Mus musculus: one gene and its partner. The protein of the gene in region 2 interacts with the protein of the main gene of each other region in a pairwise test. Links are inferred from orthologs where the notes say so. Each region holds a gene or a part of one and is shown on either strand. Other genes may lie near its edges.

What was found.
Region 1: the proteins of Dbnl (region 2) and Sh3bp2 interact in binary tests that used the Homo sapiens proteins (3 or more experiments, as listed by UniProt). The link is inferred for Mus musculus from reciprocal best matches to the Homo sapiens genes DBNL and SH3BP2.

What each region holds. Positions count from the first base shown.
Region 1 is NC_000071.6:34,561,558-34,564,156, reverse strand, and holds the end of Sh3bp2 (SH3 domain-binding protein 2), read right to left. Parts: intron 2,555-2,599; coding exon 2,495-2,554; intron 1,799-2,494; coding exon 1,661-1,798; 3' UTR 518-1,660; downstream 1-517. UniProt on the Homo sapiens protein: Binds differentially to the SH3 domains of certain proteins of signal transduction pathways. Binds to phosphatidylinositols; linking the hemopoietic tyrosine kinase fes to the cytoplasmic membrane in a phosphorylation dependent mechanism.
Region 2 is NC_000077.6:5,786,872-5,791,464, forward strand, and holds the start of Dbnl (drebrin-like protein), read left to right. Parts: upstream 1-1,611; 5' UTR 1,612-1,688; coding exon 1,689-1,771; intron 1,772-4,593. UniProt on the Homo sapiens protein: Adapter protein that binds F-actin and DNM1, and thereby plays a role in receptor-mediated endocytosis.

The DNA of each region.
Region 1 (2,599 bases), on a different chromosome or scaffold from region 2:
CAAGGGATTGTTCAAAATACCAAAAGTTTCATATACCCTAAACTTGTCCCTGGCATCCTGATTCTTCTCCCTGGTAGGCTGATAAGAAACATCTGCAGAGATGAACTCTGGTTCCTGGAAGCAGATGGCCACTGGAATCCAATGTCTGTCATTCACTACACCCCATGATGCCTGGGGGACAGAGCCTCCCACATTGACAAATTTGATGCTTCCAAAATACAGGAATTGGTGGAACATCGCAAACCAAAGCTCCCCTTACTAGACAGCAGTCCCTGGCTACTGAGCACAACTCCAATTTTTGCTCTAGGTTCTATGTAAACACCTCTCCTCTAGGGCTGGAGAGATGGCTCAGCAGTTAAAGAGCTCTGGCTGCTCTTCCAGAGAACCCTGGTTTGATTCCCAGCATCCACCATTCATGACTCCAATCCCAGGAGATCCGACACCCTCTTCTGTATGCCCCTGGGCACAAGGTACATACACATGATATACAGACATACATGCAGTCAAGACACTCATATGCATAAAAATAATAAAATTTAAAAAGAAACTTTATTTTCTAACATAAAGTGCAATGAAATCAGATAGTGCCAAGGTCTCTGGCTGCCCTGACCTCCAAATGAATTTATTTTCACAGAAAAAGTCCAGTCTAGACGGCTGTGCCAGGGGTGTGGCCTGGACCAATTGGGATCACCAAACTACTTGGGGGTACGTGGATGCCACTGTCCCCACCCATCCTTGGCCTGTCCCACTTCACTCTGGCCAGGTCATCTGTAAGAAGTCTTACTGGAACCTCCCCGACCTCCCACCCCTTCCCTGCCCCCACACACACTGGATTCCAAGCTCCCAGATCCCCCATGTGGCTTCCCAGACCACAGCACCTCCAGCAGCACCTGATACTCACTGACCTGCTCTAGAGTAAGCTTGACCAAGCTGGACTAGGGGCTGCTCACAGCCAGCAACCAGCCCCAGTACCAGGCCAGTTACATAGTCGCTCAATAATTGCTAATTGGGGCTTTCAAATTGAGGCTCCAGCCAAGATTGACAGATCCAGGTGGATCCTGATCCATTATTTAGCTATCTCTTCCAGTGAGGTCACTCAGCAGCCTGTGCCCTGAACACTAAAGACCACACATTAGGGCTGCTCTCAGTAGCTCTCTACCTGGACATTGGTGGTGCTCAGTAGAGCCTGCTACCCACTCTGTGCCAATCAAACCCTGGTCATTGAGACAAAGGTCATCTCTGATTTATTGAGAGGCAATGGTCCCTCCTAGAGCATTCCTATGTCTTAGCATTCCTATGGGTCCTAGGACAAGGCTTCAAGTAACCCAGCCTTGCTTGGTCCCAGCCCACTACAGAGTAGGTATGCTATAGCGACCTGATCATGTGCCCTCGAAGCCCAGGCAGCACTTAGTCACCAGACCTGGGTTCTTGAGAGATGGGTCATGGAATGGCTGGATGGGCCAAGTCATCCAGCCACTCCTTTAGTAGTTGTGGCCTGCTCCAGCTGGAACCCAGCCTGCTCACTGCGGCTAGGTGTCATGTCGATGAGGTCTGATGTCAAGCCCATTCCTGTTCATCTTCCCATGCAGCTGGTCTCCATCTTTGTGGCAGAGCTGTGGCTCCGGGGCTGCTTCCACCCAACAGCTGTGTGGAATGGATGTCACCTGGGCCCAGCGTAGCCGTATGGGTGCCGCAGCAACAGGCTCTGATGGCTGGGCAGCACATGGGTGTGGTAGTGCTCCACCATGCTGCCCACACTGGCAAACAGAACCTCACCTTCCAGGTAGAACTTAGAATCCTGCAGGAAGAAAGGAAGCAGGTCCAGCAGGGACTGAGTAACCCACTGCCTAGATCCCCTCACCTCTTCCCCCAGTGGTTTGTTTTTTTGTTTTTAAGATTTATTTATTTATTATATGTAAGTACACTACAGCTGTCTTCAGACACACAGGAAGAAGGCATCAGATCTCCTTACGGATGGTTGTGAGCCACCATGTGGTTGCTGGGACTTGAACTCAGGACCTTCAGAAGAGCAGTTGGGTGCTCTTACCCACTGAGCCATCTCACCAGCCCTTCCCCCAGCTTTTTAAAGGGAAAGGTCAGCAGTAACGATGGCACTGATAGTCAGGCTTGCTGCTAGCTGCCCATGTTCCCTCCCTGTCTGTCCACACACATCAGGCCTGTGTCCTTGAGGTTTTCAGTTAGTACCCTCTCTCCTTAGCCTCAAGGGTCCAATGTGAGAACTGCTCTCAGGGCAGGGTCTGTGAATAAAACCAAGGGCGGCTACCCAGTACTTCTAGAGTAAGCTAATGATAAAGCAAGGTTAGGAGAGGAAGAAGGCTGAGACCATGGAGAAGAGACGGAGGGCAAAGGACAAGGGGAGGGCTAATGTTAAGGAGGGACCAGTCCAGTTTCCCACTGTCAGGGGGACTCGCTTAGCTCTGGCTAAGCCTTGAAGCCAGTATCCCTACCCCACCCTCAGAGCCCAGTTTCCCACCTTTTCAAAGATGCGATAATTCCTCACTTTGTTAGAAGATTCATCCCACACGACCAAAACCTACAAGGAGGGAAATATGGGGCAGGGGCCTTAAAGGAGGCAGTA
Region 2 (4,593 bases):
TGTATATAGCATCAGTACTGTGGAGCGGCGGAGACAGGAGGATCACTGTGGTTTGCTGCCTACCAGCCTAGCTCCAGGCTCAGTAAGAGACCTGCCTCTAAGGAATAGGGTGGATAATGAAAGAGCAGGATACTTGACACTGTCCTCTGGCCTCCAACAGCACAGTAGTATGCATCTACCCTGGCCCATGTGCATATACCACACACATAATAACCTCTCTTGGAAGATTTGGGCTTGCTAGATGGAGCTGAAGTTTCTTCTTGTTTTTGTTTGTTTTCGGAACAGGGTTTCTCTGTATAGTTCTGGCTGTCCCTGGAACTCACCCTGTAGACCAGGCTGGCCTTAAACTCAGAAATCCAACTGCTTCTGCCTCCCAAATGCTGGGACTAAAGGCGTGCGCCACCACTGCCCAGCCAGAAGTTTCTTTTTTAATACTTTTTTGAGAGAGGGACTCACTTATAGCCAGTAATCCACTATGTAGACCAGGCTGGACTCAAACTCAGAGATCTATCTGCCTTTGCTTCCCAGGTTCAGGGATTGAAGTCATGTGCCACCACACCCATCTTATTTTTATATTGTGTGATTGTTTAAGTGCACCATGGCCATACCTAGTCCCAGCAGAGACTAGATGAGGGCTAGGGCTGGAGTTACAGAGGGTTGTGAGCTGCCACATAGGTGCTAGGAATCAATCCTGGATCCCCTGGAAGAGCAGTCAGTGCTCTTAACCACCAAGCCATCTCTCCAGCCCCTCCACCCCTTTTTTTGTCTTTGAGATAGGCTGGAACTCAACTATGTAGACCAGGCTTGCCTCTGCCTCCCCAGTGCTGAGATTAAATACACGAACAACACTTCCAGCCCCATTCTTGCAACATTTTAAATGTAACTTCGACCCCCACTGTTCTAGTTTCATTTCTGTTGCTGTGATAAAATGCCCTAGCTAAAAGCAGTTTAGAGAAGTAAGGGTTCGTTTTAGTTTACGACAACAGAGTATGGTCTCTCATAGGGACGTTCAGGCAACTGTCTGGAAATAGAAGTGAAGCACAAAGCAGGTTCTCTTCATTACCCCACTATCACATCAAATATTTCATTTTACTTTATTTAGAAGATCTAGGCAATGCCCAGGCCGGGCTAGAACTCAAGCTTCTGCCTCTGCCAGTTGCGCGCTAGGATCACAGGCTTGTACCTCTACGCCTAACACAGCAGATTCATGTTTTTTTCCTTTTCTTCTTTGGTTTTTCCAAACAGGGCTTCTCTGCCTAGCCCTCGCCATCCTGGAACTTGCGCTGTACACCGGGCTAGGCTGGGGTTGAAGGCGTAGCCATCATGTCCGACTATCAGATGAAATTTCCGAGGCGCCTGCGCGCATACAGCTTGCTCTTAAACAAAATACATTAACTAATGAGAGACGAACCAGCGTGAAGCTCTAAATCGAGCCCACGCCCTGCAGATGCGGACGAACGAGGACCTACGGGCAGGCCCGCCTCTCGTGGATCTTCATTCACCAGCACCCCGCCTCAACTTTACCCTCAGCCTAGCTCGCCTTCTCTCCACTTCCGCTTCCGGCCTCTTGGGCGCGGCTTCTGCACGTCAGAGGCGAGGCTTCCGGCCTCCGGGGCGGGGCTTCCGGCCGTCACTGGAGGCCGGCAGAAAGCTGAAGCTGCTGCATCGCGGGGACCGTGGGGCGTGCCATGGCGGTGAACCTGAGCCGGAACGGGCCGGCGCTGCAGGAGGCCTACGTGCGCGTAGTCACCGAGAAATCCCCGACCGACTGGTAGGCAGCAAGGCGGGGCCGGAGAGGCGCCAGAGCGGGAAGGTGGAGGTCGCGGCGTAGCCGTAGTATTGCAGGATCACCTGTCCACCTTCCTGAAGCCTAGCGAGATGCTACCCCACCCTCGCCACCGCCGTCCCCCCGGCGAGTACCCCCGGGCCTCTCCCCTGCCACCTAGTGGTCGGTCGGCTCTGCCCTGAAGATCTCTGCCTGGTTGTGCTTTCTGCTTTCCGCCAGGCTCTGCGTTTCTGGGACCTCACTGGACAAAGGGGTCCCGCGCAGTTCCCCAACTCCCTGGAAGGCGGAAACCACGTCTTCTAAACCCTGAGTTCAGGAAGAGACCTTGAAAGCGGCGTGAGCAGTGGGTTGAGGTCATGAGCTCACACAGGGCTCAGTCAAGGATGTCACAGGTCTGGGTCCCTGATTCTGGGACTGAAAATGGGATCCTGTCACCTGTTTGAGAAAAGGCTCCATCCTTCCTTCACCACCCCAGGAGCCATTACAGTACTGTGAACTAGATCTGAAGTTTCTGGAGTGGCCCTGCTGAGCCCTCTTAGGTTTCTGCTACATGCATACCAGTCTATAGTAATTCTCTTTCACTTTCCGTTTACTTAACATGCTTCCGTTAGCCAGTTTTTAGTGCTTCAGTTTCTCAGACATCTGATGAGTATGGCAGGTGGACAAATTCTGGGGAACACAAACTGGACTTTGGAGTTCTGGTGGGGCCACCACTACCCTGTGGTCAGCACTGAGGGGCGCTATACTGAGTTTGCCTGTGTTGAGTCTTCCCTGGAGACTTCCCCTATTGCAGAACTCTGGCCAATCATCTCTTCTGTTCTACTGTGTTGTCTCTCCTCTTTATCTTTTGGCCCTCTAGTCGTCTCAGAACCATCACTGTTTGGGGAATACCTCACAACCTAGCTAGCAGTGCCCTTCACCCATGCTTATAACTCTTCACTGACCTTGCTTGCTTTGCTTGCTTGCTTGCTTTTGAGACTGTGTAGCTCTGGCTGGCCTGGAACTCACTGTGTAGACCAGGTTGGCCACGATCTCACCTGTGTCTGTCTCCCGAGCACACATTGAGCCTCCTACTAGAATCATCTGCTCCACCTTGGTCTGACATTGTCCTGCCTCATCCACCCATTGTTCCTTCTGAGGGTGCAGATCTTGCTCTTTCCCCATACACTGTTCATCTGCCCCAGCAGCCATGCTACTGCCCAGCTTCCTACAGTACTGTATGCAGACGGTGCTGCCACTCCAGTTGAACGAGCCTCTGGCCTCCACCCTCACTGTCACAGCCATTTCAGTAGTCACTCAGCAAGATTTTTGTGGCAGGTCCCCACTCGCTAGCTGAGAGAATATCTGGGCCATCTTAACTTCCCTGCCCATAAATGCAGTGTCTTCCTGTTGCACTTTAGTAAAGCCCAGACTCTTACCCTGTCTGCCCTGGTTCCTGTTGCCCCTCCTGCTTACTACTCTGGCCACACCTGTTGACCACCCTTGTACCAAAGTCTTTCTCTTCCTCAAAACTGCAAGCTAGTTCCTCATCAAACAGAACCTCTGATCTTGCTGCTTCCCCTGCATGGAACATACATATACATCATCTTGATTGCTTCTTGTCCTTTATGTCTCTATGCTAGGGTTGTCTTCTCAGAGAGTCCTCCTAAATTCCTAGTACATGGGCCACATGCATGCCTTCAGAGGCCAGAAAAGACTGTGGAGTTCCCTGAGACTAAAGTGATAGTCACTTTGTCCTCTCTCCTAGTTTCATTTCTTTGTGATACAAATAAGAAACATGCTGGGAACCCTCATGGACTCTGTGTGTGTGTGTGTGTGTGTGTGTGTGTGTGTGTGTGTGTGTGTGTGTTTGTGTGTGTGTGTGTGCTTTTTCTCTTCCCTAACATGGTCAGGTAGACCCTTGTGCCTAGCTGTCATATGTTTTGATGGATGGATTAAGCCATGCAGAAAAAGAGACTGTCAAAAAGAGGTAGTCTTCAATTTGGTAGCCAAAAAAGGTCACACACACAGAGCTGGTACCGTGACACTGTAGACCAGAGCCATAGCTTTAGTTTCTCTCATCTATAATCTAGCTTCAGCCTCCTCCCTGAAGAGCCTGGCATGACCTGTGCTTATCTGGTTCCTATTACACTCTGTGTACACTGTACATTAGCATCAGGTGTAGGGAAGTTAAGCTCCATGGGTCGGACCTTTTAGGAATTGTTCATAGCTGCAGTCCAGTCAGCATACACGTACCAGGCGTTGTTCACACTGATTTAAAAGAAGAGGTGAGAGTTCTATTGAAGGTAAGAAAAAAAATCTCTGAACTGGAAATTTTATTTGGGGCGATATGTGTATTGTGCATGTGTGCGTGTTCATGTGCAGATGCACTCACAGGACACACAGGTGCAAGGCGCCAGTAGATGGAAAAAAAGCCACTGGACAACTATCCATTAGAGCCTTGGTGGCTCTGTGGTCTTCACTGGAACTCAGTGTTGTCATTGTCTACTTTCTGTTGCTATATCTGCCTGGTAAAGTGCATGTTTGCAGGAGAATCTCAAGACAGGAAGCCCTGCTGTCTACCCTCAGGCTATGAAGGCAGGGCTGATACCCACCCAGGAGTCCCCAGTGCACCTTTCTCCCTCCTGCTTCTACGTTAGGTGTTTGGATTCAGGAATATGAAGACATCTTTTGCCTTTTGAAATTTATGTGCCTGAAAGCCAGCTGAGTGTTTTATTCACTAGTGTGTAGAAAGAACACATAACCCTCCCACTTTTATCCTCCCCTAAGTATATGTTCATATGTCCTTCCCCAGTCCCAGTGGCTTT